2 linked regions of the Lytechinus pictus genome follow. Each later gene encodes a partner of the first gene's protein in a complex. Links are inferred from orthologs where the notes say so. Each region holds a gene or a part of one and is shown on either strand. Other genes may lie near its edges. The genes, in order: CXXC-type zinc finger protein 1-like and WD repeat-containing protein 82-like.

Region 1 (16,360 bases):
TCATCATAATTATAATTAATATCATTGTCATCATTATAATCATTATTAATATTATTATCATCACTACTATCATCACAATCATCACCATTACAATTATACTTATCACAAGGCTCCACATTAACTTTTTTTGGTGGTGGCCCGTTCGGGCCACCAAAATCTTCAAATAATTTTTTTTTGTGGCCCGATATTAAAGTTTGGTGGCCCGAAAAATATAAAGAAAAACATTAAAAATGAATAAATGGGTATAAATGGTTTAACCACTGTAAAAAAATGAAAGAAAATAATAAAACAGCAAAAAAAAGTGTGAGAAAATTCCTTCCCTAAATTTGCCAAAATGTTGGAAAAATTCACATTTCATATTAATGAAATGCCTTCCCAAAGTATTTACTTTCTCAAGAGTTGTTTAAGAAATAATTTATAAACAAGAAAGAAAGTAACTGTCTGTTTATTTTTGGCTAGAAAAGACCGGAAAAGACACAGCTTCGAAAGAAACCAAGTAACAACATACATACAAATGCACATGTGGGACTGTGATGTACTCACCTATGTGTTTTTATGTGTATTATTTTCATTTGGAAATCGGTCTTTTTGAGTCAAAAGAGAGGTAATGATTCCTCTTTTTAATGCTTGCAAATAATCAGGATACACCAGATTTTAGCAAAAAGGTCTGTAGATGGGCATTTCATTGGTGTAAAATGTGACTTTGACTTGGATTTTCACAGTTCTGTGGAAGATTTCTTAGCAGCAACATTTCGTATTGCAGCTCCCTGAGTCTGAATAGGCTGCTATACGCTAACGCACAGCTGCTTCAAGCATGCAAAGCTCACGCCAGCTGGCTGGATAAAAGCTACTAAATGCTATAGCGGTAGGCCAACTTTGTGTGTGTGTGTTTGTGTGTAGATCAACAAAAAGGGCGCATGACGAACTGGCTTGCAATTTGAATTATAGAAAGTTGATAAATGCGTGCAAAATGGGGAGAAAAATTGCGCTATTCTGAAAATTATTGGTTGCCCGATTCGGGCCACCAAAACTTAAGATTTTTTAATTAATGGTTGCCCGAGGTGGTTTTCTGGTGGCCCCGGGCCACCGCTAATGTCGAGCCTTGCTTATCATTATCATCATTAACATCATTATCATCATTTATTATCATCATCAGCATATTCATCAAGACATCAATGTTATCATTACCATACTTACCAGTTGTGGCCTAGTGAGTTTTTGACCAGAAGAAGCGGGTGAATAGTCCCCGGATGCATCAGCCTCAGAGGCACCTGTTCCAACGCCACTCGCTGCACTACTCTTCTCCTTCATCTTCATCATCTTCAGCTTCTTACGTCTCTTCTTCTTTTCTCTCTCCTTCTTCAACTTCATCTTCATCTTTTTCTCTTTCAGGAGCTGTTTCTTCTTCTTCTTGATCTTCTTCCCGCTTGGCTTGTTGTCCAATTTGGGCCGTTCTTTCTTCTCCTTCCTTTCCTTGTAGATAACCGACAGACCTGGAGTTTTCTCTGGAAACCATAACAACAAAGGGTTTGAAGTTTTTTTGAAGAATACATTTTGAACCAAATGAATGTTAGTACGTATCATACCTTGCTTACTTTAGAACAATCAAACCTATAAGAGATGTGTTCCTTCGGCCAAGCATATAACAATTTATTTTTGGCAAAATAGTATCATTGGAGAAGATGCATGATTTCTTATCTAAAATTTGATATTCTTGTGACTACACTTGTGTTTACACTGACTCCTACCCTGGTATCCCCTCCGATCCACAATAGATTCAAGGCTGCTGATTAACGTATTTCTTTTTTTCTTTACAAAAATGTTGGATAAACAAAACAATAACATCATGTGGCCGTCCAGAGGATTTAAAACAAAACAAGTGCTTACACACCTCTACACGGTGGACAGGCATACTTGAGGATGTACTTAGCAGCAGGTTCCTCCACACCGACGCATCTTCCGTGATACCATTCTTCACAATGATCACATGCTCTAGAAAGAAATATAGGGAAAAAAGTCTCATGATCCAAGAAATAGATTACAACGTTACAATATAACTATTTTATTACTGTATTCTGAAGTTCAGTTGAACTTGGGAAATTTCTGTAAATTATATGCTGAAATCATGGGAAGTGAAAATTGTTAATTGTTAATTGTTACATTGTACGGTTTTTTATTTTATTTCCCCATGCATCGACCCTAACTAGGCCGGAGGGTGTTTCATAAAGCTGTCTGTAACTTACGAGTGACTTTACAAACGACTGGTGATTTGGATCAACATCAACACCAATGAAAATCTGGTATGTATCATTTACCACAAGGATCACCATTTGTTTGTAAAGTTGCTCGTATCTTATGAACAGCTAAATTTAACACCCATCTGGGTTATTTTGGTACACTATACAGCCAGGTGGGGGGGGGGGGGTATGTTGGCTGTTAACTGCACAATCAGCACGAACATTGGCGTGCATGTTGCTCACTGCATATAATCTACATTTTCTACATGTACAGAATAGTAATTTCTTTTAGAAAAATTGTGTGATGTCAATGATTAGGCCAATTGATGCACGGAAATCAAACTGCAATTAATCCAAGGGATATAGGGCCGAATGTACATGATAATTTTCAGTCTGGCACTCTTGGTGGCCTCCTTGGCACATCTACTATGAAAATATTATGATATACAAATTGGTTTCCTGTATAGCTTATTTCATAAATTTTTCATATACATTTCTTTGCTTTTTATTCGTTCATAAAATGGAATAAGTATGCAACACTATTCAATAATAAACATAAATAAATAAATTTTATGCAGTATACTGGATGATATATTTACACTGGATTTGTACATAATTTTTTGTTTTTTGTTGTTGCAATTTTGAGTCTGACTCTGACATGCACTTACATAATGTTACATACTTTTTTATTGTATCAGATACATTCTGCCATTATTATTATTGATTCTTATCAGTGCATCTTCTTGGAAAAGATAACACAAAATAGTTTATAACAAGACTTCATTCCAAAGTAATAGAGAATCTGCTTTATTTAATTTTTATAAAAGAAACATTTCATTCTCAGATTATCTTTTTCTTCTCAGAGTTTTAATCCTTTTTATCATTTTCACTGTAGTATTGAAATAATCTGTTCTCAATGAATGAGTTATCAAGTGACACCCCATTAAAGTGTAGTGTTTACAAGTTAACCTAGTGTAAAGTGCACTATAGAATACCAACCACCATAATCAAAGGTCAAGTCCACCCCAACAAAACTTTGACTCTCAAGTGAAACAAGGTTTGATTCCTCCCAAAACATATTAAATTGCCATTAATTGAAGATACTTCGGAATCCTTAATATAAAAAAATTTAAAATATTCTGTATTTCATATATATAAATAAAATACAAAAGAAATATTGAGTGTGTGACATCATCCATTTTCTTTCATTTGCCTATCACAGTGTTTTGCATATAACTGTAAAAAAATTGTGAAATTAGGTGAGATTTTAAAATGCCATAAATTTCTTTATACTACATCCAAATTTGAAGTCATTTTCACCAATACTATTATTTTTCTCTATTATTTCAAATCCAATTTGGTTGCATGGACTTGCCCTTTAATTAGTTGCAATGATTTTAAATTCTTACATCATGAACTGTGAGCAATCAAAACTCCTGCAAAGACAGTATAGAATAGGTTCCCCGTTCTCATCCAGGAAGGGCCCTCCTGGTCCACTCTCAATGGGCTTTTTGTCCGTCTTGACCACCTTCTCTTTCACTGTGTCCTTGTCCTTTTCCGTCTTCTCGATCATACTGACGAGGGTCGCGACCTTCGCCTGTCTTTCTGGTAGGATCGTGAAGCCCATTGAGGAAGATGAAAGCTCTGTCGAGTCTTCATTATCCTAATTTATTAGAAAAAGAAAAATGGTCACTTATTTCCTGGTAAAACTGAGACAGAGTAGATTTACTGTTCCATTAAAGGGGAAGTTCACCCTGACAAAAACTTTGTGGGAAGAAGAGCAGAAGAAATAATACAAAATATTGTTGATGATTTGAGGAAAATCCATTAAAGATTAAGAAAGTTATTAGAATTTCAAGTTTTTGCTTTGTGATGACATAAGCGAGCAGCTGCCCAATATGTTTATTATAAGTTGCATAAATTTTATTGTTAATGGTTCTTGATGACTTATTCTATATTTTCTTTTTAGGAGCGGGTGTGAAATAACTTGTGTATTGATATATTGAAGGTATAATAAAAATCATTAATTCATTTTAGATTTTCTGAGAAAAATTATATTTCATTTATTTCTTACCATACAATATAGAGGAACGCTCCTCGCATATGATGTCACAAATCAAAAAATAAAAATGCTAATAACTTCATTCTTTGATGGGTTTCCTTCCACAGTGGCAAATTGTATAGAACCGATAGCGGTGCGTTCAACGCTAGCGGGCGTGTACATTTTGCTTATTACATGACGTCATCCAGCCACTGCCGAGAGCCAATTTATGAGTGAAAATATAGTACGCATGCGCAGTGCAAGCCTTCCATTGCCCCACACAGTATTCCACCAAAACAAGTGTGCAATTCTCTATCACCTCGTACCAAAATCGACCTAGAATTTCACTTTCCTATATTTTATATGAATTATGAAAGGTATTCTCGGAGGATCTATTTTCTCACCAATACACCACAGGTAAGCGAATTTCGATTACTTCTTGCTTTTCCGTCAAAATCTTACGAATTAGCGTCGATATGGCATCGTGTTCATAGGAGTTTGTAGAGTCTATCGCAACGTGTACAAAGTCAATTGATTTCTGGGTTTCGGAGCGTCGCGTGAATATGCATGAAATTGCTGAGTCTCGATTATTTTTTATCGATACTGGAGCAATCCGATCACGAACCAAGACCATTTCCCGGGTAGACAATGTGACCGGATATCATTATCGCTATCGATACTTTCGCACGCAGTCCGAAGGAATTATTTTGGCGACCACGTAGTCATGACGTGATCTGCGCGATTGGCCAATCAGCAGTCTCCGATTCGCTGAGCCGAGACGGTCTATCTGTTGTACACAGTCTATGGACAATATGCCACTGTGCCTTCAAACCTTCGCCAATATTTCTTATATTTTTCCTGGGTTTTTTTTACAATAAACTTTTTGCCCGAGTGAACTTCTCTTTTACATGCAGAATTACTGAAGAAAACAAAGGAAAAGAGTGACCTTAAATTAGTCATTAGCAAATATTTACTCTCATAACTCTCAATTTTAAAGGACAAGTCCACCCCAATAAATATTTGATTCTATTAAAAGAAGAAAAATCGAACCAGCATAACACTGAAGTTTTCATCAAAATCGATGTAAAATAAGAAAGTTATGACATTTCAAAGTTTCACTTAATTTAAAAAAACAGTTGTATGCACATCCTGGTCGGTATGCAAATGAGCAGAGTGATGACGTCACCCACTCACTATTTCTTTTGTACTTTATATGAAATATAAAAAATTATACTTTTCTCCTCATTGTCAGTGAAACAGAACTTTATTTCTCCCTGAACATGTGGAATTACCATTATTTTCAGTTTATGATCAAGTCAAATTGGTCCTTATTGGTAAATCTGTAAAAATTAAAATAATGTATAATTCAAACAATAAAAAACAAAAGAAACAGTGAGCAAGGGACATCGACTCTCTCATTTGCATGTCACCGAGTTGTGCATATCAGTTATCACTGTCTGTTTTGTGAAAAATAAGGGAAACTTTAAAATGTCATAACTTTCTTATTTTTAATCAGATTTTAAAGAAATTTTCAATGTTATGCTTGTTTGATTTTAATCTAGGCCTATTGATTCAAATCAATAATTTTCTGGGGTGGTCTTGTCCTTTAAACAGTCATTTGTAAAAATTAACAAGCGAAATTATTCTTTAAATTAAAAAAGGCAATATAGAGAACAAAAGAGCAGATGATTACAAATACAAGAGTAAAAGACAAAAAAGAAGGCTTCAAAATTATAAAGTGTCTGGACACCCGACCCCCCCCCCCATCCTACTACAACAAGTTCAAAACATGAAAAGCACAACAAATTTGCTATAGACCAATAGTGTACATCTACCCGGTGATTTAATTCCTGTACAATTTGAACTAGTTTTTCACAGAATTGTGATAAACACATTTGGATCTGCGTGCATAAGAATTGCATGCGCCGGCATTGTAGTTGCACTTGCAGACAGCCAAGGCCCAAAGTCAGAGATGTGTCAGCGAAAATAAGGCAAATTGTAACACTAGCTGCAATTCTTATACACTCTATGATCTACTCACGCTCGTTTCTTCCATTGTAACTGAATCTTCCATATTTCTTGGGTTGTGCGGCGCCAAACAAATCAAGTCGCTAGCTGGAAATTGTGGTACGGGAGTCGGGTCGAATGTCGATCCGGATCGAGAATTAGAGACAGCCTCGACCTCGGCCTCGCGAGCGAGCAGTTCGACCTACGGCAACTAACCCAGTCAACCATTCTAGACAACCGAAACATGAAACATTCTCCTCTTTGGCGCCGGCGGGCTCCTTACGGTGCTCCTTGGCATGGCCTGCGCGATAGGCGGATCGGGGCGAAGTGGCCGTGCATGGTCCACGGTTGGCGGCCAGCCCGGGGGGCCACTTACATTGACGAGTGGATACCATGCGCGACCAAAAAAACACGTAAAAAGGATGTCTTTTTCAAGATAGGGCACGTTACGTATGTAACGTGATAAGGGTGTCAAAAACACAAAAATAGTGAAAAAAGGGTATCTATTTCGCTAGGAAAGCTACGTGTTTAGGGTCAAATTTGCGGGGATGATAAAACAAAATTAAAATATTTTATTAAGGATGTCCTTTTTGCCCCAACACTACGTGTTTAGAGTCCGATTTGTGCGAGGTGTGGAAGGTGGGGCCGTACTTAACCAAATGATGTGTAAAGGTAAAACCGACGACCGACGGACCCGCGACATATCGATCACTTTAGGCCCTACTTGTTTAGGGGTTCTTTTCAGGGAAAATTGTATCGTTTTGAGTATCGTTTTGTTTCCAATACTTGTTAAGGGTACGGTTTCACACGCCAATACTTGTTAAGGGGTGCATTTTCAGAATATGGAAAATACGTGTTTAGGGTGCTTTTCGAGACCCCATGGTCGCGCATGGTATCCACTCGTCAATGGAAGTGGCCCCCCCCCCCGAATGTTTGAATCACTGAGTGAGCGCGCTCAGTTGCCAGTTATACTGACCTAATAGAAACATTTTCTGGACAATGTCATTAAACGGATATGCATCTCATGATCAAATAATGCGAGCGCGAAGCGCGAGCTGAATTTTTTTATATTCACACCTAAAAAGAGACATTATAATCAAATTTGTGTAATCATGATAGGTACCTGTCTCGCTAAACAATACGAGCGCGAAGCGCGAGCTGAAGTTTTCGTATATTTTGACCCCAAACAGCGAGATTTTGAGGAATATATTTTAGGAATCCATTAATAGTATGCATATCTCACCATAGTCATCTAATGCGAGTGCCAAGCGCTTGATGGTTTATAAGAATTACATCTGAACACATGAAACACTTTTTGTAGTCATTGCAATCATGATTATCGTACGCATCTCACTACTAATCAAATATTGCGAGCGCGAAGCGCGAGCTGAAAATGTAGATAATTCAGACCTGAAGTGGGGCATTCTAAGGTTTCTTTGTAGGAATTAGCTAGGACCATACGTAATTCAATATCCAAATGATGCGAGCGCGAAACGCGAGTTGAAAATTTTTGATATTCAGATCAGAAGAAGGGACATTTTAAGGACTGATTTTAGGAATTCATGAAGAGCAGACATATCTTACCAATCCACTAATGCGAACGTAATCACGGACAGGAAATGTTTCATATATAAGAAGACCTTAACATGGGGCAATCACTTTTTGAGTCATGAAAAAGAAGCATATGACGTAGGCCCTGGGCAAATTATGTTTCATGAAGTTATGATAAAAATGTTTCTTATGTAATGTAACATAACATAATTATAATATAACATTATAATATAAAACAATGATAACTCAAGTGCTATATATTTGGTTTATATTGACTTGAAAACGGGATGTTTCAGTACAACAGGATTATATATCTCGTTAACAGACAATACAAGCACCGGGAACAATGAAGACGTAGGCCCTGGGCAAATGTTTCACGAAGTTATGATAAAAATGTTTCTTATGTAATGTAACATAACATAATTATAATATAACATTATAATGAATAATATTTTCTTCTTTCCCACTACACGCTTCTCTTCCTTTCTCCCTCCTTTCTCCTTTTCCCCTTTTCCCCGTTTTTTTTTTGGTCAGCCGATTGGGAGGGCACGTGCCCCCCATGCCCCCCCCCCGTAGTTACGCCACTGTTCAATTCAATTCAATTCAATTCAATTTATTTTCATTCTTCAACATAATACAAATAATTACATGATAAATCAATTCAATTCAAATAAAAGCATGAACAAAATTCAACATTAAATAAATAATATACATATTCAATAAGTGATTCAAATATAAATTAACATGCATGTCAAATTTAAATCAATATAATCAATATAATTAAATATAATTTAATCAATATAATCATATATCATGAGAAGAATGGAGGGGTCCACTGAAAAGCAAAGCTTGTAAAATGTGTCCATATGGCAAATACCCCTCCAATATTATTATCTTTTTTACCCCATGATGGTTTAATGGTTTTATTAGAGATTACATTAAAAAAGAATTGACATTTCATCTTAATCCCTTCCCAAAGACCACAACATAGATGAATTGGAAGAAACGGGAGTTTTTCTTCAATGTTATGATAAGGACATATGTATTTCGTTTGGAAATGGTGAACTGGCTCTTTATTTGCATTTTATGATTCAATAATATTGTTTTATTTGTTAAGCGGTATTTCAGGAAGAATTTTCACCAATAAAACAATTATCTCTTGTGATGTTTTTTTTCTTCATTACTTTCGTAAAAAGTGGGGGGATGTTTGTACAGGCCATCCCCCCTCCTCGAAAAGTGGGGGGGGGATATATCCCCCCCCATCCCCCCCCCCCCCGGGATTTACGCCGGTGCTTGATATATTTTACATTAGCGAACTAATGATGAATGAATGAATAAGTACGAATAAATTAATGAAGTAAGGATGAATGAATATTCATGAATGAATGAATGAATGATAAATGATGAATAAATCAGTGGATTAATGCAGGCCTGGGATTAATGTCATAAAATGAATTATGAAATGATGGATGAATCGTTCAAATATCCGTTGCTGGAAATTTCAATCAATTTTGATTGACATCAATCAAGGGAAATCTATGTGATTGACTTCTAAGTGCTGTATTAAGGCGGATATAAACTCAATCTTTAATGGGACATAATCTTCACTATTGAATTAGCTAAGGAGATGATGTGGCCCAAAGCGACTACACCCTTGAATAATTACTCAAAATAATTGATTTTTTATGAGTATATCCTTTATCCTGTTTTTGATATACCTCTTTGTAGAGAAATACAATACACCCAAACTGCTTTGTTGTTAAGCAGGAGTTTTCAAAGATCCGGTCTGGTGTTGTTTCCATCGTCTCTCAGAAAGATTTGTTTGGCTAAGGCCTATTTGTTTGACTTAGAATCTCCAGAACTTTTATTTCCTGATAGTTTTCAAGCGAACTGTAGTTTTGTTTCCGAGCTCCACAATTATACATGATAATAAGACATTTAAAACAAAATATAATTGGTTATCTCAAACTTCTTTTTTTTAAAGATTTTTGGTCATTACTTTCTGCTTAGACGATAGTAAATCATCCAAATGAAACTGTACACCCTAAGAAATTTCTGCACCCTAAGGGGTGCTAATGTGCACCCGCACATAAAATGGGTGAAAATATGCACCTTTTTGTTACGTCTACGCTTACCTTGTTTGCACCCAAAATGGTGCAAGGATGGAAATGTGAACCTTTCCTAAAGGGTAGAACTATGCATCCTTCGTAGTGCAAAATGTAGCGACATGGACATTCAGAGGCGCATTAAAAAATATCAATATGAAAAAATTGTGCCCCAAAAGAGCACCATTTGTGACATTTAAAGGGAAAAATATTGAACCCTTTTTTTTCTTCGTGTGTAAAGCGCTCATTGGGTTTCTTGCAATGTGTGACTGTTTTACAACTATGCCAGCTATTATTTGTTTTTCACAGGGATATGGTTTCAAAATAAACGATGCGATAAACGAAAAACATAAAACAGTCAGAATATGAGCCATCATTTTGCGTCCTTTTGGTAAAAGGATGTCTTCGGAGCTCGATCTGCTTAGTTTACAATCTTGGAAATATTAATAATCGAACCCGCATCGTCGCTTGACGTGGTTTAGCGCCCTCTATAATTTTACCGTAAATAATCATCGCATACTTTTTTTTGTGGGTGGGGGTATCCATGTTTGCATTTTAAGTTTTTCGTTGTGTACTTTTCTGTTCTATTTCTTTTTCACAAGCGTCTAATCTATTTCATATCGATGTTTAGATCATAAATATCAAAATAAGATGAGAAATAATTGAATAATTAATTCTGAAATGGAAGTAACCGTCTCTGTCCCTTATTCTTTCCTGATCAATAATGCAATCATGCAGTAACTGTTATTTCGGATGAAAGAAAATTTTAACTTAGATTTAAAATTCATTATTCTTTCTATCCTTCCTCATCCCCTTCCTCTATAATAATAACTTGTTTCTTTTATACCCCTTGTATCCCCTCCCTCCCTCACTGGCTTTATCTCTCTCTTCCTTTTATATTTTTCTCGCTCCATCTATCTTTCACAGTATGTTGCCCTTCGTTCTTTTCCACACTTGTCTGCCCCAATATTATCTTTCTTTTTTTATCATATGATATTATACGGTGCAATATTGTCATTAATGTGATAATTTTATTGTCATTAATGTGTATTTTATTTATTGTATTTCTTTTTAATTCAATCCAATTCAGCCTCGGGGCTGCATAATCAGTATAAATAAAACCATACTGTATATTGCCATTTAGGGATTATTACCCACGATCTTAACATCCTTTTAATAAAAATTGTTTATTTTGCTGTTGAAAAGAGAGGTGTGTAAAAACCTGCAATTTTCCTCATAGTGAATATCATTTTAAGATATAGGGTAACTAAAGTAAAAAACATAATAATGATAATAATAAATAGGCGGGGAAAAGTCAAGAAAGAAACAATGATTTTCACAGGATGACAGATAGAATACGAAAATTTTGTGGGGTTTTACCGTAAGTCCTTACGGATGTGTTTAATTACTTTAATAACAAAGTCAAGTTTTTTTTATAATTGACGAGAGCGCAACCATCGTTTCCGCCCTTTCTGATAGTATACCATTTCATGTCCGATGTTATACTTCATTGATTAATTATCAAGTACAGGTTTCAATAACCAAACGAGTGTCGTTTTGGCGGTAAAAAATGTGAACTGGCGAAATTCGGGAAAACCCCTCATCCATGTTTTCCGTAAAATGATAACGCGGATACTATAGTTTTAATGGCAGTTTTGGAGTAACGATTCCTTGTTTTGGTCTCTTCTTCCTCGTTCTGTCCGCGGGCTGTCCCGAATCAGGACTGTTCTATTTTTACCGACTAGTTCCCTTTTATACCAACATGTTAGTGTTGACTGCATGACTGTGTGGGCGCATGTAAATACAGCGTCTGCATGAGCGGGCCCCAAAAATGCAAATACAAACGGATTTTCTGTACGTTTGTATTCTTTAATAAACTCCGCCCAAAGTATCTTTTACAGTATTATAATACCAGCTAAAAGGAGCAAAATACTACGGATATGTGTCAAATAGTTTACACGTGGGATTAGTATTAGAATTAGATAAGATCGTGTGTACCTATCTCCTCTGTTCTTGAGAAAATTCTTCTTTTTTAGACGTCCATGGGAAATGTCATTCGTATGGATATACTTTATACACTGACCTCCAACATTCTCCCAGTATTAAAGGGGAAGTTCACCCTGACAAAAAGTTTGTTATAAAAATACCAGACAAAATAGAAAAAAAATGGTGAAAGCTTGAGAAAAATCCATCAAAGATTAATCAAGTTAGTAAGATTTAAAGTTGTTTATTTATGACGTCATATTCGACCAGCTGCACCATTATTTTTTATATAAAATGCATGAATTCAATTTTTTTGTGGTTTATGATGGTTAAAATATTTTTTTCTTTCAGGAGCGGGTGTGATGATACTGAAGGTATACAATAAAAACAATTTACACTTTTTTTAAGAAAAAAAATACCATTACCATTTTCTATCGTCTTCTTGGTTATTATACTTACACAGTGACTATAATCAGGCAAAAATTTAAGGAGAAATGGGTTGGTGCACTTCACTTTTCTCAAAAATTGCGAGTGATCAAAGCAAGTTAGCATGAAACAGCTTTTTCTTCAAATGAGTGATTGACTATGTCATGACTTCGGAAAGGGTGTCTAATTGGCTATAATTATTGTATCGATTAAAAAAATTAAAAATTAGTGTTTTTTAAGAAATGGACAGCTATTTTTGTTTAAAAAAGGAAATGGTTTAGCTTTTGAGTTGGATTCACAACCAAAATAGGATTTTACATTACATTACATTACATTATATTACTCTTTCGATGTACTTTTGTTTTCTTTCTAAAATTATTTTTCAAGATGCAGTTTACAACAGCCTGATGATAAGGACATTGAACCGAAATGGTGACGTAAATGAATTTACACATTTAATGAGAATCGATCAACGATGACAAAAATATGAATAAATTACAACCCATAACTGAAAATCAATATAGCAACAGAGATTTTAACACCATGACCATGAAGAAAATAGAGATGCCTTCGTTACACTGTCCACCATACTGCTTCCATGACAACCGAATAATATTGATCACAAAGTTCAGCATTCGAATGACACATCATTCGTAGTCTTACTAAATATATATTATCAGTTCGATATGTTATGTAATACACTTAACTAGATTTTAAAGAGAGAGAATTAAACGCTGACGTCAGCATTAATATTCACATCTCTTAATGACCTTAATGGACTCGCTAGGTCGTTTTATAACGTAGTTATGCATGGCGGATGAGTAATAAGTTATGTAGTATAGTCTACGTTACAAAACAGGTTTAAAGTATATAAAAATGACGTAGCTACAAGAAAGGTTAACAAGCTCCCATAAAATAAGGTTCTCAGATGGGAACGGGTAATGGGGGAATGTGCCCTTTGCCCCCCCCCCCAAAAAAAAAAAAATCCACTATACAGAAAAATGATAAAGAAAGAAAAAAGAAGATAAAGGGAAAGAAAAGGGGTAATATCTAAAATTATCATTTCATTTTGGCAAAATTAAACAAAATTAGATTTCACTTTGAAAGCAGGGTCAAAATTTTCGCTCGTTCGCAACTTTTCAGAAATGCTGCACGTTTTGGCATGTTCTGCCAAATCAGCCTCCTCGAAATTTTTGACCCATTATGCCAATGATAAGATGTTACTGATAAAGCTGTATAAAAAATGCAGAACAAAACAAAAACAACAAAAGCGTGCTTGCTATTATTAGTTTAAGAGAGAGCATGCATTTAATATTCAAAATGGAATATTCGATGCAATATGAAAGATTCTTTATCAAAATAATATAATTTCGGTGGTGGGGGTATTCATATCCTACCCTCAAAGGAAATGATGGTGCCTTTTAACGATATAAAGGCCCCATACACTCTTCAATAGAAAAAATGTCCTATACGCTATCGATGATCCAAAACTTTTAATAATTCAAATTCATGATCATTGTCACTGACGCAATTACGTTTAAAACAAATCTGGAAGAAAATCACATCACGAATACCGAATCTTGTAATGAAATTCACTTGATACAAAAAATTACAATTGGCAAAATATAGGATTAATGTCATAATGAATTTTTTTGCTATAAAAATTATTTATCATGTAGTATTTAACTCTTGACATGTGACTGTCACCAATTAGCACTGAAGAGTACACAACGTCTAGCACATTTTCGTTAAGAGTTAAAAATTGATCAATCAAAATAATTAAAAGAAAATAAATAGTGCAGTACACCTTATTGGGGTCTTCAAATGCTAGACTAGACGCAATGTTTTGATCGCAAGCTTGTTCATAATGCGACACGCCGTGTTGGTTTTAAAAATACACACTGACTATTGCTGAGTCACCGCTGTACCGGCTTTCATTCGGTTCAGTGCAAGGTTAGTAGAAATGTCAAATGATTCTTCCAGGTAGCCAGAAATGTCAACTAGATGATGATGGCGTTGAATCATCTTGAATCATCAAAACCAAGGACACTTTCTCTTATTTATTCATCCTGGATATTCTCATTTCCTTTAAAATGCTGAAGAGCCTGAGAGCTCCACCATAATAGGATGATGGTGGTGATGATGGTGATGATGATGATGATGGTAATGGTGATGATGATGATGATGATGGTGATGATGATGATGGTGATGATGATGGATGATGATGATGATGATGGTGATGATGATGATGATGATGGTGATGATGATGATGGTGATGGTGGTGATGATGATGGTGGTGGTGATGGTGGTGGTGATGATGATGATGTTGGTGGTGGTTTTGGTGATGATGATGATGATGGTGATGGTGATGATGGTGATGATGATGATGATGATGGTGACGATGATGATGGTGATGATGATGGTGATGATGATGATGATGGTGATGATGATGGTGATGACGATGATGATGATGATGATGATGGTGATGATGATGATGATGATGGTGGTGGTGATGGTGGTGGTGATGATGATGATGATGGTGATGGTGGTGGTGATGATGGTGATGATGATGGTGAAGATGACGACGATGGTGATGATGATGATGATGATGATGATAATGGAGATGATGATGATGATGATGATTATAATGATGATTATGATACTGGTAGTGGTGATGATGGTGGTGATGATGATGATAAGAATAAGAGTGCGTGGAGGGTAATACGTAAACCCCTAATATAACGATGGTGGTAATGTGGTGGGGACAACTATGGTGTCACGGTGAAGATAGTGGTGGTGGTAGTAGTGGTGGTAGTGGTGGTAATGATGGCGGTTGTGGTAGTGGTAATGATAGTGTCCGTGGAGATGATAGTTGTAAGGATGAAATGTTTACACATGCATATGTTTCATAATGAAATCAGATAGCAGCGTAGGTATATAGTAGCCCTTTCTCCTATATAGGTCCATGTACTTATCTTCATAAGATATGAAACTATATCTTATGCAATTATTATTTCAATAATGAATCTGGGGTGATAAAGTTTGAGTCACGAGGAACTTAGGGGCGGCAGCGCCATAGGGGGCACATGCCCCGGAAGACCGGTCATCCCTATGATTCTTAAAATTAGGGAGAGGGAGAAAAAGGAAGGGAGATAATAATTGAAAGAGCATTTCTTACTTTGGCATCCACACTGCCTTTTTATTTGAATACTGGCGACACCTATACTAATGGAGGAATAGAAACTAAAATCGTTCCTGTTAAGGGCAGAGCAGCTAAAATTGAATATAATTATTGCCCTTCATTCACTTTTCACTTTTTAGGAACAATATATATATACATATGTTTTCTGATATTTCTGATATATATATATATATATATATATATATGTATATATATATAAGCGATAGTAATTTTTGAAACAGGTATAAACATGTGACAAAAAAAAACACTTCCTCTTCAACTACGACATTATTGAAGTAATTTCACTGAAAAAAAAAATCAGCACCAATTGCGTCATGTATGTTGTATAAAATGTAGGCGCAAATACGGAAATCCGAAACTGGGACTAATATATATACATATATTTTTGAAAATAAACACGCTTTTCTTTGAAACATTTGCTTTCAGCAAACATGCTATGAGTATAGAAATAAGGCAGTAGCGAGCGCCCAATACACCGCACAGTTTGCTTAGTGTGACGTACGGTCGCTTACCTTTGACGTCACAGCAAATGCGAAGGGGCTAAAAATAGCTCATCAGCGACGATCCAATAACGGCAATGAGCTGATACTGCGAGCCAATTTTAAGGATGTAATTGTGCCAGAAGTTGTCTAAATAGCCCTCTCAGTTAACCGATACATGGTTATCCACTGCAAGAGAATACCTCCTGGCTGATTGATGAGTTAAGTCTGTGTTACTTCACCCTCTGCATAATGTACTGTACATGGACATAATATGACGTCGAATCTTACTTTAGAAATGAAGGAAGGAAAAGAAAGTCTGAGATTGA
Region 2 (16,624 bases), about 51 Mb from region 1:
GTAGTAGTACCACTACTTGTAGCATTTTGCTGGTTATATCCCTTTTAGTGTCCCGCAATTAATTGAATCCCCTGCAAAGTAGTGGACTTCTAGTATTCCGAACCCCGGACGAAACAGCTTTGACATTTCATTGGTTTACTAGGTGATCGGTAATATACATGTATATGACTCATGTATATTCATTAGGAAGATGTTCCTCATGAATATATAACTCACCTCAGATGTCAAGAGGCCCTGGCTCGCTGCGCTCGCCAGGCTTAATTCGCTTCGCGAATTAGGATATCCCCCGCTTCGCTCGGGAAGCTGCCGCCAGGAACTCGACATGAGGCTATGACAGTAGAGGCGCTGGTCCAAAACTTGGGATTGTCCCAGAAAACAAGGATATCCTCATAAACCAAGACAAATAATGTCTTGATAAATTGAGACTGTCCTTGTTTATGGGAGCATTTTTTTTTACTTCCCCCTATGGGACAAAGACATCAATTACGGGAATTGAGAGTGCTAAAAATAGATTCAGTGACCTCAATTCCCCCCAGTTCACCGTCTATTTTTCATAACTTACCGTCTTCCAATAATCTTGTTATAAAACCTGATATGTTTACTAAGCCTGAGTCATATCGATTATTTTGAAAACTGGTGTTCGACAGCTTTAATTCGATCGAACATCGATGCATCGAAGTTTGAAGGCGGGGAAATCGAGTCATTTTTTTTGCTCCGGCCGTCGCCTCGATGCGCTATGCACGCACTGCATGCACTGACGGTATGCGCTGGCGGGGTGAGCATTGCACAAGCAGATGACGGAGCAAAATTTGTTTGTATTTTCCATCATCACAAAACACAAAAAAGGCCGGGGTCCAATGCAGAATTCTTCCAAAAATATCTCCAACAATGATATTTGCAGATGACAACATATAAGTTTAAAATGAAACAATATAAAAGACATGAATCACGCAGAGTCGATCCGAATGATTTTCGGTCAACTAGCAATCGCAGTCCAGACTCGCACAGACTCGCACAGACCAGCCCCGTACACTCACTCTCCCGAAACGACAGGCGTGCTTGCCAGTGCCAGCAAACAAGTGCGACCAGCGGAGAGTGCTGTAACTTGCCTGAGATTGTGTAGTTGGCGGGGTAGTTGGATCCAAAATGAGCTCCAAATAAATTGATGGGAATAAATACGTAATTTTCTCTGGATGGTCATTTGAATTGCTATTCAATGCTGACATAACGATTGTGAGGAAATATTGTGGAATTTGAGTTATGACGATGTTCGAGAATTAGTCCTGATATAATCCATTCTTTATTTTAGAGTCAGACACTAGAGCATGCGCTCGAAATAAATACGAATGTCTCGGATCGAGCTCTAAATTCATATAAATTATTATTGGATGTTAAATAATTACGATTTAATAAGATTTTATGGCCATACTAAAAATAATGACGATGTCAGCAAAGTATGTTATGTTTATATGGAAGAATTAATAGTATTATACTGGCATTATCTTTATTTTTATTCCATCTCTGGACGACGTCTCCGGATCCCAGCTCCGAGAAAAGAAGCACAATGCGCATGCGCGTTCGATGACGTATGACATATTTTCCATTCATGAAATCAGAGCCCAAAGTTGGGCACAAGCTAGCTTCAAATTGATGGGAAAAAATATTAAACGCAATTTTCTCTGTTTTGTCACGTAAAATGTTATTATATGGTAATATTACGATCTTGAAAAGAGTTTCTGCATGTTGACAATGTTCGAGAATCAATCCTGACGTGATAATTATTTTTTTAGACAAGTGCACTCACTCAAGTCGATCGTCATGTGATGTCCGTCATTGAAAATTGATACGAAATACAAACGTTTCACATCAAGCTCTTAATTCATATTAATGATTATCATATGCGAATTATTGTTAATTATTACGATTAAATCGTGTTCTATGGTCATGATATTAATATTGTTCATGAAAGCAAGATTTATTTTACGTTGATCGCGCCAATTTTCCGGCCATTTTCTGGTTTGATTAAAGCACAGTACTGCGCGTGCACGATCGATGGCGACTTCCATTCATGAATTCATCGTGCATAAATTATCTCGGCACGAGCAGACGAGTAAGACTCGAACTATGATCGAAATAAATTTCTAATTAATGGTGAATAGGCATCACAATTAAACAATCAGTTTCTTTTTGGGGGCAATATAAATCAAGTAAGTAGTAGTCAAGTTGGACATTACTGTTATTTTGATTTTTGATGATTGATTGTGTGAACCAAACGAATCGGCCGGCCAACGTATTTTATTTTTATTTTTTAAATGCACCGATTTTGCAAAATCTGCACCGGCGCTCGATGACATCGATCGAACACCGATTTTAAAATCGATTCGACTCAGGCTTAATGTTTACATTGACTAGCACACTTGATTCATTGGTGTCGGCACTTGACAGGTGAATGAACTTTCCTAGATTTCTTGTGTGAAGAAATCTTTAAAAACTGAGACAGTCCCTGTAAACTGGGACGATCCCAGTTTTCTGACCAGCGCCTCTACTAGTCTCTACCTGTGGAGAATCTACAGGTAGGACTATGGTATGCCAATGCTGTATTGAGCACACACTTTAAAAAAATCATTAAAATATCACTTTTGTGATCAAAATTATTACTTTCCATACAGTTGCAATTCAATTTTCATTAGTAGCTTAGAATAATTTTTGTATTGACCAGAGCGCTCAAAAACTTGAATTTTGAGATATTTTTGTGTACGCCCTTTATTGGTGGAAAGTAATATGGCGAGAAAATGTTCATTTTTCAAGCTCTATTTTTAATGAAGAAAACAAAATTTAAAGAATCAAATTTACTTAAGAGCCAAGTTAGATAATGAAAAGCTGTAATGGAAACTGACAGTGTAAAAAAATCAAGCATTTGTCCAAAAGAGAAAATAATCCAAACATTGTCAACCTTATTTTGCCACACATAGAGATGTAACTGAGAACAAGGTTATATCCTAACCTTGTTCATTGAATGAGTGCTACTGCATGCGCATGGCCATTGCTAAGTAAGTCATCGATCATGAGTAACGTTTGCAAACAATTTCTGGTGGGGAAATTTGCTCGAATCGAAGTCAGGCGCTGCGAAACTAACTGCATGCCACAAATTATTAGCGCCACGATTTGGGCTGCCGCGCAGTAGCAGCACCTGCCTCGAGCAAAGTTTGGGCAGGCTCCACTCCACTGCCGCTACACTACGCTCCACCTACCCGAACTTTGGGACCGTGAACCTGATCTGATATTCCGAGGGACAAAGTGGGATAAGAAAGTTATTTATAAAAATTATAGAAAAAAAAAAAAAAATAAGAAAAATAGCTTAATTTCTTACTCTACACGTACCCTTACCAGTAGAGGCGCACGGCCAATATGGGAGACTCTCTCCAATAGGGGAGACAATCTCCCACATTGGAGACTTGCTTTGCAAAAGGACAAAAGAAACAACACCAACAAAAGCATGATTTTTTCCACCCAAAATTTTGTCTCACTGAGGTCAGAAGCCCATTTGTTTTGTGTGTGATTGACAACAAAAATCATTATCAAAACAAAAGTAGATGGTGAATTTTTAAAGTAGACGGTGAAAAGGGGTAATTTTTCATGAGGAATCTGCTTATCACATTTTTATTTGCCGCCAAGTTAATCCTTTTGCAGCAAATGTAAACAAAGGAAATTGGACTCCAAAACTGGAGACTGTCTCTGAAATTGGATACCCAAATTCTTTACAAAAGTCTCTGTATTGGAGACAATCTCCCACATTGGAGACAGTCTCCAATATTGGCCGTGCGCCTCTACTGCTTACATGTATTTCACTCCATGTCCATCCTCCGGTTATGCTCAAAATTGGTGATTTTGGGCCAGTATCCAATTCCTTACACGTATTATTCACGGCCGATTTCAAAACATCGCATGCGATCGGTCGCAGGTCAAACAGCATAAATATTTATATTATATTGGATGGCTCAGAAAATACCAAAAATATTCTTTGAGTTTGGGAAAATATTCCACGAATCAGTGACTGGAATATTTTCCCAAACTCTTAGAATATTTCTGTATTTTCTGAGCTATCCAATTAATACACCATAATTATAATATAATATTCCACGAATCAGTGGAATATTTTCCCAAACTCTTAGAATATTTCTGGTATTTTCTGAGCTATCCAAATATACCGTAAATATTTATGCTGTTTGACCTGCAACCGATCGCATGCGATGTTTTGAAATCGGCCGTGAATAATACGTGTGAGGAATTTAGATACTGGCCCAAAATCACCAATTTTGAGCATAACCGTAGGATGGACACGGAGTGAAATAAGGGTGTAGAGCCCGCGGGGTGTAGAGTAAACAGCATAAATATTTATATTATATTGGATGGCTCAGAAAATACCAAAAATATTCTTTGAGTTTGGGAAAATATTCCACGAATCAGTGACTGGAATATTTTCCCAAACTCTTAGAATATTTCTGTATTTTCTGAGCTATCCAATTAATACACCATAATTATAATATAATATTCCACGAATCAGTGGAATATTTTCCCAAACTCTTAGAATATTTCTGGTATTTTCTGAGCTATCCAAATATACCGTAAATATTTATGCTGTTTGACCTGCAACCGATCGCATGCGATGTTTTGAAATCGGCCGTGAATAATACGTGTGAGGAATTTAGATACTGGCCCAAAATCACCAATTTTGAGCATAACCGGAGGATGGACACGGAGTGAAATAAGGGTGTAGAGTAAGAAATAAAGCTATTTTTCTTTCTCATTATATTTTTTTCTATAATTTTTACAATAAATAACTTTTTTACCCCACCTTTGTCACTCGGAATATCAGATCAGGTTCACGGTCCCGAAGTTCGGGTAGGTGGAGCGTAGCCGTAGACTTAGTCAGTGTAGCGGTAGTGAAGTGGAGTGGAGCCTGCACGAACTTCGCTCGAGGTAATACCTTGGTCACATTTGCTACGGCCGCCGTAGATTCTAAAATTTCTACGGCGAGTAGCAATTCTACGGTCGCCTCAGAATTTCCACGGCCACTTACTCTAGCGGTCACATATGTTACAGTCGCCGCACGGCATATTTTTTAATTTATGGAGAAAAAATCAGCGGCTGACGTATGTCCTTGAAATCATGACGTACGGTCGCCCTAGGGCGACCCTGCGCTGGCCGTAGGTTTTTGACAAATACTACGGCAGACGCGAGGTGGCCGCAAGGCGCCCTCACGGCGGCCGCAGGGGGACTATACAGTGAGTATACCATGAATTGCTTGTCATACTCATCATGATATTTTACATTAGACATTTCATTTCAGAAAGTTTTCAAAGTGTCGCACCATGCCCATGCGCGTATTCTGGATGGGAGGGAGGGGGGTTCAGGGCCCGGGCCCCCGGGTAGGCGAAAAGGGGGTACCAAAAAGAGGGAGGAAAGAAAGGGAAAGAAAAGGGAGATAAAAAAGGACGGGGAAACAAGAAGAAGAGAAAAGGGAAAAGGTGGAGTAATAAAAGTGGGGGGGGGGGGCAAATTGATGTTCGACCTAGGACGGGGGGGGGGTCGCCAAATTAATGTTTGACACTGATCTGAATATTATACGATAGGTAATGTTCGACCTAGGAAGGGGGGGGGGGGCAAATCGACCTTTGGGGTGATTCGCGCTCGCATCGAATGATTAGTTAGATGGACATCCTGTTAATGATTACCTAATGATTACCAAAATTGTGTAGAATTTGGAACGGAATATAAAATAGGTTCAGCTCGTGCTTCGCGCTCGGATCGAATAATTTTTAAGTGCCCATCCTGTTCATGATTACCAATAATGCTTAGAATTTCCAAACTTTGGGTCATTTTGGAATATAGACAATTTTCAGCTCGCCCTGACAGATAGAGAGATGCCCATCCTGCTCATGCTTACAAAACTTCTCAGAATATTATTTCCAGGTCTATACACAAGCTATCAAAAATCGCGTTCGCATTATTTATTTGAACTTATGAAATAAATCTCCCTTAACCATGTTAACTTGTTTGTATGAATAAAGTTAAGATGTTAATAAACGCGTTAGTCTTAAGTAAGAATTACACCCTAGGAAACAACAAAAATCAGCATTTAACTCCCCATGATAATACTAATGATAATGATAATAATAATAATTTTACCCAAGTTAGCCGCTGGTGAAAGGGCAATATCTGTGCTTCCTGGTCACATTTGTTCTTTAAAAAAAGTGGTATTACATCATATTCATGGATAGAAATAACCCAGAGAGCTCCCGCCCGCTGCGCGGGCGGGAGCCCAGAAGCTTACCGTGTATTTGACCATATTCACCGGACTAGGGTGATTTATGGTCTAAATATTTCTCCAAATGAATTGTGAAAACAGAAAGTATACAATTACCACGATTATATGGATGAAGGTCTAACGAGTGGCAGTTTCCTGACATCTGGGCACAGACTGGAACCTCAAAAAAACGAAAAGTTCTCTCCTTCTACCCCCGTTTCGATCGGCCATTTTTGTTAAAAATCGTAACAAAATGGCCGATCGAAGAGGAGAGAACTTTTCGTTTTTTTGAGGTTCCAGTCTGTGCCCAGATGTCAGGAAACTGCCACTCGTTAGACCTTCATCCATATAATCGTGGTAATTGTATACTTTCTGTTTTCACAATTCATTTGGAGAAATATTTAGACCATAAATCACCCTAGTCCGGTGAATATGGTCAAATACACGGTAAGCTTCTGGGCTCCCGCCCGCGCAGCGGGCGGGAGCTCTCTGGGTTAGGATAGAAACTACTTTTTATCAAGTCATCATTAAAAAAGTGGTCTGCAGTTAATTATCTGCAGTTGCCCTTTTTCATGTGATTATGAAATAAGATAATTCAACATGCATTTAAGGCACCCGTTTGCCTGGCGAGGAGGGGTCGCCATTTTTTTTCTGAAAAGTACACATGCATATGGGCCAAAATTATACTATAGCCTAGGTCGGGCCCCCGAGGTGCAAAATTCTAAATACGCACCTGGTGGCTCCCGAGCAGATAACACAAAAGGAGAAGGGGAAAGGAGGGAAGAAAAACACGAGGGCAGCCTCACGGCCACCGTACGCTCGACGTACGGCCGCCGTAGACCGTTCTACGCCATGCCTACGGCTAGTGACCCTAGTCTAATTTCTAGTAGAATTCTACGGCGAGCGTAGAAAAGAAAAAATGTTATACTTATATTAACTCCGAGTTAAAATTCTACGGCCTGTAAAAAGTAGGAATCCGCCATACGTCGACCCTGCGGCCACCGCAGATTTTCTGCGGCCGCCGCAGAAATCTCTCGAATTCAGGTATCTACGGCCGCCGTAAGGCCGCCGTAGAGCAAATGTGACCAAGGTATAAGCAGCACCGGCACCATGCATGCACCACTTACTTTCCCTCTAAACAATCGTAAATTACGATGGAATCGTCTTCACTGCTCGATATCAGCGTTTCTCCGTTGTGTGAGAAGTCGATGCTGTTGATCCGTTCCGTGTTTTGGTCTTTAAAAAGCTTCGCAACACGATAGCTTCTCATTACTTGGTCGGACAACTTCATGATTATTCAATTTCAAGTCCAAGATTTGAGTTCGTTGAATTTAAGCTGGGTTTCTGAAATCTGCCTGTTATGATCGATCGTCGGGGTTTGGTCGGTCACTACATACATGTACGTCAAACTTGGATTAAACTCGTCGCGTGTACTGTATAGTGTATGTAGTGTACGTCTAGTCTACGTCTGCAACAACGAACGTAGAGGGCAGCAACACACAAGCGTGTTGCATGCTATAAGGAAGGTCAACTCGATACGCGCATGCAGCTGAGCTGCGCGCGTATTTTATTGTTCATGCCAACGAAATCAAATGCCGATCCAATACAACAACAGATTAGTAGCGATCAAAAAACGAATATGAAAGAATATGACTACAACAATACCAAAGATAACTTAAAAAATATGTTGAGGAATATACATACATATAAAAACATACTTTGATATTTAAAACTTTACAAATATAAGTTTCAGGAAACTAAAATCATTACCAAATCGGTGATTGTTGATATCAGCGATTTCACCAGACGGCTGTATTAGGTGATTTGCGTCGAGACGATTTTGTGACCACTCGCAAAGCATTTCGGGATTGAATATAACCACCTTATTTTCTCTGAGCTCTTCGCTGAACCCATCATCACAGTGCAGCTGCAGCGCAGCGCGCAGCCAATGCAATGCATCCGATGCATGGGTTGTTTTTTCGCCGTCCATGCCATGGTCTCGGACTCAGAGTTGAAATTATAGACCCGGATTTCGGGGATACAGCGCCTTTATTTCAGATTTATAGACTTAAAAGTCAAATGACATTTAAAATTTGAAATCTAACCTTGAACAATCATCGTTGATAAACATCAGCCCTGAAGCCATTACACTTCAAATCAGGCCAGGCAAATTAGACGTCATTGTCTAAGTTGCTAGATCTATGACGAGTCGCCTGAAGCCCCAGCGCATCATCAACGTCACTAGCTAGCTGCGCGACCGGCCCAGACTCGGCACACCCAGGCCAGAAAAATGACCTCGATTATTACGGTGGTTGTCTATGCATTTATTAGTGGTGCAGCGAAATTCAGCAGAAGAAAATAAGAGATATGAGGTATCCTCGTCACAGGCTTAATATTCCAAAATGAGGACAAATGTCAAAATCATGATTATTTAAGCTAAATATTTTCTTTAAAAATAAAAGTAATATTTTTAATATTTATACCCAGAATAACCGATCTAAATAATTGTTCATTAAAAAATATTTGAAATTAGCAAATGAAAAAAAATCAACTCGACAAATTTCCCAAAACCCCACCTTATTTTTTAAAGTGGTCACAAAATTCGAGCGGAGTTGACCTTCCTTAGAGCAACACGCTTGTGTGTTGCTGCCCTCTACGTTCGTTGGTCTGCAACATAACAAAATATGATCGTCGTTCGTTTTTTAGGTGTCACGCGCGTAAAACATTCCCCATAGACTTGTGCGTTAAAATGGCACTTTTGAAAAATTCATAAAAAATAAATGTGAAATTAGAGGGTGGAATGTTTACTACCAATGGATAGGTTATATATCTGACATTCCAAATCTGACCAGGATAGGGTACCGTAGCCAGCTCATTTTAAAAATAAATCGCCATTTATGAAGATAACTATGAATGGATCGAATTCATCAACTGAAACAGTAAAATAGCCCTAATTATTCCGCCAGTCAAAAAATAGTTCCAAGTCACTTATTTATCTTCCCAATTTGGGCAAAGGAAGTTCAGTAGTTACCATTTTTAGAATCAGTGTTAGATTTTGAATCATATTTATACATTTTTGACAATCAGCAATATCAAATTGACAAAAATTCGAATGGGTTGGGTCGAACGAATATCTTTAGCCTTCCTGATGTAATTAGGCCCGTGGAACCTATATTATAGGACCTATGAATTTTATTTTTTTGAATAGCTACTTTGCTATTCTTATATATCTGTACACTCACACTAGCACAAATAAATGCATTGAAAATGTCTATTTTCTATGCAATGACCCATTTTAATGTGTTACTCATACATGTTATTTTCACTATATATGGATGTATACAAATCCTACCTGCATATAGCCCAACAGTGAATGCAATGACAATATAGGTCCCTATCAATTTTAATATAAAGGTGTATGTAAATTTTGTGTAGATATCAGGATACCAGAACTGCCCCAAACATATACCAAATATCAAATATACATGAGATTTGATGAGGAAACAATAAAAGAATGAGATACTACTTTAGTATACTTGCATTTGACCTATTCAAAATCTTCCTAGGGCTGTACGTTGCCTCTCAAATGTAAGAAGGAAGAGATACATAAATAGATAGATAGAAAGAGAGAGAGAGAGAGAGAGAGAGAGAAAGAAGGATAATTTTATAGATGGCATGGCTTAATAAAGAGGGGGGGGGCTATGCTAAGATTGCAGCACACAGCCACCCCCCCTCATCCTTAGTTGAGCACTATTAGATACCTTACCTTACTCTGTGCCCTTTCTGAATTCCTTCTTGAAGGTACCACTCTAGTTCTCTTCAGTAAAGTTCTCAAAGTTCTACCTCCTCTCTACCTACCCCCTTCCTAAGAACAATTTTAAAATGAGCAATTTCTAAAGGTCTTTCTAATGCTAAGTAGGTGATGTACACTAACACAAAACAATGATAAATCAGAACATAAAGAGGCATTGACTCTATACATTGACCAATCTACATACATTCCTAGGCTACCCAGACCTACTAACTTTACCTGATGTAGCCCTGCTAGCCATTAAATCCATTTTTTTGCACCACTTGATGACTAAACATATTGATATAAGTGCATGAGAAATTGTTTGCTACTGAACAGTTTGGCCAGGTATACCATCCACTACTAGGGATTTCCCATATTACTTACAGGTGTCACGCGCGTAAAACATTCCCCATAGACTTGTGTGTTAAAATGGCACTTTTGAAAAATTCATAAAAAATAAATGTGAAATTAGAGGGTGGAATGTTTACTACCAATGGATAGGTTATATATCTGACATTCCAAATCTGACCAGGATAGGGTACCGTAGCCAGCTCATTTTAAAAATAAATCGCCATTTATGAAGATAACTATGAATGGATCGAATTCATCAACTGAAACAGTAAAATAGCCCTAATTATTCCGCCAGTCAAAAAATAGTTCCAAGTCACTTATTTATCTTCCCAATTTGGGCAAAGGAAGTTCAGTAGTTACCATTTTTAGAATCAGTGTTAGATTTTGAATCATATTTATACATTTTTGACAATCAGCAATATCAAATTGACAAAAATTCGAATGGGTTGGGTCGAACGAATATCTTTAGCCTTCCTGATGTAATTAGGCCCGTGGAACCTTTAGCGAGTCGTCACCACTGAACTAGAAATACGTGGAATACGTGTCCCTATTCCCAACGTACACAAAGCCGTGCGGCAACGAAGAGCATCGGACTTCACGCTCGACTGAGCGCGCCGCCATTTTGCTAGGTCAATACTGGCTAGTCGACAAATGCTGCGTGAAGGCAGATGGGAGAAAGGAACGCAAAGAAAGTGTTCCTTGTGCTGTTTAAAGTTTTAGTTTGCTTTGTTACATCATGAACTATATGTTATTGAATACTTTCATAACTGAAAATGTTGATTTAGTCACATTTTTTTATTAAAAAAATGTAAAGGGGAGTAAACATACAGACATGAAATCATAAAAACTCGACCTTTTTCACGCGCACACTATGACAAAGAAAGGCCCAACAACAAATTTGCTTTCTGAGTAGGCCTACAATTTGTCTGAACAATAAAGGCCTACAAGCTGGTTGCATTAAAAAAAAATCTTTTAACGATTAGAAATCATGTCCCTTTTCTCTAGCTTTTTTTTTAAACCTCCCTTCTCATTCAACTATTCATCTCATCTCATTTTCTCTGATTTTCCTCTTCTGTCCATCTCTCTTATCCTCCCTTTTCTCCATCCCCTTCTATTTCTTCCATTTCTACTTTCATGCCCCTCTCTCTCTTATTTCTCCCCTTTATATCATCGCGATCTCCCTCTTTATTAATTTTCCTTTCTCTTTGGCTTCTTTCTCTCTGATTTTCCTCTTCTTTATCATCTCTCCCTCTCTATACCTTCCCTTTCTATATATCCCCCTTATATCTCTCTTTTATTTCCCCATCTCCCTTATATCAAGCCCTCTTATCTCCCTCTCGTCTCGCCTTTCTCTCCTCACCTTTTTCTCATTCCTCGTCATTTCCCCCTTTCTCTCACTCTCTCTCTCTCTTTGATCTTCCTCTACTTTCCATCTCTTCTCGTTGATCGTCTGTTTCTTGTTTTCTCTCCGGCTGCATCTTTACCATTTTGCCTTTCTCATTTCAACTTTCTCTATATAAATTTTGAGTAAATATTCCCTTCCCTCCCTCTCATACTGTTCAATCACACATTCAGGGTGAAAAATTGGATAGAAGTTTGAGGACAAGAAGGTTGTTACTTTTAATGTGCCTTCAAAGTTGGACCTTCGTGTGCTCAGCCATGAAATATCTATAAGTACAGTGTATATAAAAATGGGCACAATATAATTTGAATTCTTATGAAATTTTAATTTGGAAGAGCATGGATGTTGCACGACATGTGCTTATACATCAATACACCTTTACATAAAGGAAGGGGTGATGGATACACAAATTCAACTCTAACAAGTTTACTAATTAGAGCACAGATCAGAAAAGCATAGCAATGGTAATTCCATTTAAAAAGTTGTGGCACTAAATTTCGCTTATTTTCACATACCAAATAATTATATGCATATCCTGGTCAGTATATATGAAATATTCCACATGTCAAAAATTGCACAAAAAGACCACTACCTCTTGTCAAATATTTCCAGGGTGACCAGACGTCCCGTATTTTGCTCCTTTGTCCCGGCGTCCCGACAAACCCTTCCCGGGACACCTATCTGTCCCGTATTTTTAGAATATTGAACAAAATGTAGTTGATACATTTAAAAGTGACGAATTTTCATCTAATAACTTAACAGATGACGAAACAGAGACAACAATAAATCGATAACTAAACTTTTGCAAAGTTTTGCGGGTGATTTTTATCCTAACCCAATAGGCCTACATTGCAAACGAGCTGGCTTCCTGCCTGTGTGTGGCAGGCTCTATGCATGTAGGATCGGAGCAGATTCTCAATGGTGCAAACAATCTCACATGATAAACAGTTTTTCCACCAAAATAATCGCAAAATCGGCGGGAAATTTTTATGATCATATATTATAGATTCTCAGATTACTGATTTAATAGGAGGAACAAGTTTTTTTTAGTTTTCATAACTGGATCTACATGTAGTTGATTTAGCTTTCGTTTTGAGTCTTGTTGTGTAGGATGCCGGCGCTGTTTCCTCTAATTTGTAAGTTGACAATGTTTCACTTTGAAATTTTATTCATTTCTAAACCACTTCGTTTTTCAAAATTTTAAAGATATATATCTAAAAAACACCAAATATATCATTATCATTTCTGTTAGATGATTGGATTGCTTTTGTTTGCTTGAAGTTTGAACTTTTTCCTCTTTCATTTTTATTCTTCATCCTTCTATCCTTCCTGCTTGCTTTTTTTGTTCCATCTATCTTTTAATATTTCCTACCTTTCTTTCCTGATCCAGTCTGTGTGTTAATTTTCTTTCTTTCCTTCTTTCTCTCATCTGCCCTTTTTATTTACTTCCTTCTCCCTTCCTCACCTTTAATTTCTTTTCGTTTTTTCTCTCCTTCCATTTTTTTTTCATTCTCTCCTCCCTCCAATCTTTCCTCCCTCTCTTTCATTCTTTCTTTCATTCTTTATTCTATTTTCCCTTCTAATTCTTTCTTTCCCTCCCTCCCTTCCTCCCCCCTTCCTGTTTTCTGATCTTTCTTCGTTTCTTTCTTTCAAAGAATGAAAACATTTTTCTTTCCTTCATTCTTTTTTTCCCTTCTTTTTCTTACTTTTTCTTTCTCACCTATATTTTGTCTGTCACACATCTTCCCTTTCTTTCCTTTTCTTTCTTTCTATATTCGATGAATTCAAAGAATAACGGAAACCTTTTTTTCTCTTTTATTCTTTCTTTCATCGTCTTTTTAATTATTCTTACTTTCTTTCATTTTCCCCTTCGTTTTTTTCTTTCTTCTATCTCATTTCATTTCTTTTCTTTCTCTCCTTCATTCTTTCGTTCACCCTCCCACCCTCCCTTCCAATTCTTTATAGTTTTTCACAAGTATAATACTGTGTAGCCTTCTTTGATGATCTTTTTTTTATCGATTGTCCCGTATTTCATTTTTTGAAATCTGGTCACCCTGATTTAAACCCTTTTTTAAAACTACATGAATTACCAGGACCCAGTACATTGTGCATATAGAAATATGTTTGTACATGATTGGCTTACTGACATTAAAATACACTTTGCCACACTAAGTACATCAGTATTAATTTTATATTTATAGAGAAAACATATTGCATCTTGCACATACTTTCAATTGCCTTCTACGGCGCGTTCTCGAACAATTGACCTAGCAAAATGGCGGCGGTCACGTGACTTATCGAGTTCGCCGGCGATGTTTTGCTTGGGTGAACACGACTTCCACGTATTTCTAGTTCAGTGGTCGTCACGCATACATCGTCGACTCAACTCGGCGGCCACTTTTGACCCATAAAAAAGTCGACTTTGTACGCACGCACACTCGTCACATTCGAGGGGATGAAGACCCATAGGGCCGGACCTAGTCTGCTATGCAGACTCTGAATGGCTCGTGAAGTGGGATCGCAAACCAGCCTGAAAGGGCGAGCGAAGCGAGCCATTTCAGAGTCTGCTTCTTCTTTGGAAATCTTGTTCCCACGGTCAAAATAAGTCCCACCCACCCAAAATTTCAGAGAGCTTTCATTGGATAACTTCATCTGTCTGTAAACCAAATTTTATGACCACTGATGAGTATAGACAATCCCCTACTTCAACCACAGAGCCATGAGCAGGGTTATTATGTAATACCCTCGCTCAGGTCATGTCATCAGACAGTGTTTACATATGACATTCCACTGAGCAGCTGCATGTATGGCCAAAACCTTGCTCCATGGCCCAAACCAATTGTGTATTCATGGTATAGTGGATGGTTTTATCATAGCTCTATATATATATTCAATTCAATTCAATCTTTATTTCGCAAATAGGATAAAAATACAAGGAAACATCAAATAATGTGATTAGATAATAAAAATAAATTGCGTGGCTTCCCATGAAGGTAATAAGAAACATGTGAGGCTCGCCAAAACATAGTAAAAACAAAACAACATTAATACAAAACAGAATATCATATCATTATAGTTAATAGTGTATATAAAAAGGAGAAAAAAACACGAGTTGAGGGGGGTAGATACGTTACAAGTATGCATTGATATCATGTGTGAGAATTAATAATAATTTACTAGAAAATTTGAATACTGTTTTCTAAAAGAATATATAAATTGTGAATTAGTTATTATTTGGGGAATCTCATTCCATTGTTTGGGACCTACATAACTCAGCTTCGTGACTATAGACCTAATAGACCATAAATGAAATTTATTGGAAGAACGGGTATTATGGTTATGAACTTGATTATTGCATTGAAAAAGATCTGAAAACTACATGGGTAACAACTACCTCTTTTTGAACTTATAGATAAATATTGTGAGTTCTCGCTTATTAAATAAAGGTGCGGATGGTGCTATTAGAATAGGTAATTATTCTTAAACATTTCTTTTGAATATTGAGTCCAATTCATATGAGGTTACATTGGTATTGCAATATTTTAAATAAGAGAAAATCATGGAATGGTATAAAGTTATCAGATTTTTATGAAGCAAACTAAGCTTAAGTTTGTAAATTAAACCAGTATTCCTTAAAACATTTATCATATGGTACTTAAAACCCAAAATATTATCAAACTCAAAAACACCGTGACCATTCTCATAAAATTCAGAACTTAAATATTAAATATGATAGTTTACAAAATGAAAATCTTAAATTTCACGATTGTAAGTTTGTAAACTATCATACTTTTAATCAAACAGGATAGCTATGTTTTATTTTGTTCCTGTTTGGAATTAACTTCTAACCATAGTTTCTTGATTGGACCTTGTATTTGTAGTCACTTCTCCGTGCTACTGTATTCAACCTGTTTTACTGCTATGTTAGCTCAGTTTGATATTAATTAGCCTTGTGTAAGTTTTCATGCCCAGCAACATTCGTTCACCTTTGTATTAAAAGTGTTTTTATGCCAGCCATAATGTATGTGATAATCAGGTACTTTCAAACTCAAAAGTATGCTGAATGAAAATGTTGGCAATTTTTTTATATAAACCTAAATCGGATCTATTTGATTTAAATCAGATTTTTTAAAATTTCAATCTGATTTTTTCTAACAATTTTTTTTAACAAAGTGCAAACACCCAAAATATAACCCTTCACACTGACATCAATTTTAAAATTATGCATTTCACCACCAAAATTATTCTTAACTATTTCATAATCAAATCCAGTCAAAATATAATTTATAGAAAATATTAAAGCCGTAAAGAAGCTGACATTTTCTGATGTGTCTAAAGTACATGTAGAGAGCTTCTACTTATTAGTTCAAAGGAACTGTCTTGGTACAGCTAATGCTGCAAACATGCAAAGTTGGTGCTCATTTTCAAAGCTCTTGGTATTTAATGAGGATCAGTTTATTTGGAAGAATTCCATGACTCAGAGATTCAAGTTCTCCAAAGAGATATATTTTTTAAATTTTATTTTCAGGTCAAGGATTGAAGATCATATACATGTTAAAGAAAACTGCATTTATCTTTTGTTTGTTTCAACCCCAAGTTGTTCTTTGAGCCACAGTTGGAACGACTGTTTCAAAGCATTGGCTTTCAAAGCTTTGACCGACTGCATTTATTTTTGTTTGTATCAACCTTAAAGGAATGGACCGGGCTGAAAATATTCAGATCTAAATAAATAGAGTAAAATGATGAAAATTTCACCAAAATTGGATGACAA

Evidence for each region.
Region 2: CXXC-type zinc finger protein 1-like (region 1) and WD repeat-containing protein 82-like share a complex: the UniProt entries of both Drosophila melanogaster proteins name them as parts of the SET1 complex. The link is inferred for Lytechinus pictus from reciprocal best matches to the Drosophila melanogaster genes Cfp1 and Wdr82.

What each region holds. Positions count from the first base shown.
Region 1 is NC_087247.1:14,226,650-14,243,009, forward strand, and holds the start of CXXC-type zinc finger protein 1-like, read right to left. Parts: upstream 6,499-16,360; 5' UTR 6,353-6,498; coding exon 6,320-6,352; intron 3,901-6,319; coding exon 3,647-3,900; intron 1,993-3,646; coding exon 1,892-1,992; intron 1,506-1,891; coding exon 1,198-1,505; intron 1-1,197. UniProt on the Drosophila melanogaster protein: Component of the SET1 complex that specifically di- and trimethylates 'Lys-4' of histone H3. Essential for Set1 association with chromatin and trimethylation of histone H3 at 'Lys-4' at transcription puffs.
Region 2 is NC_087247.1:65,189,977-65,206,600, reverse strand, and holds the start of WD repeat-containing protein 82-like, read right to left. Parts: upstream 7,842-16,624; 5' UTR 7,599-7,841; coding exon 7,435-7,598; intron 1-7,434. UniProt on the Drosophila melanogaster protein: Component of the SET1 complex that specifically di- and trimethylates 'Lys-4' of histone H3.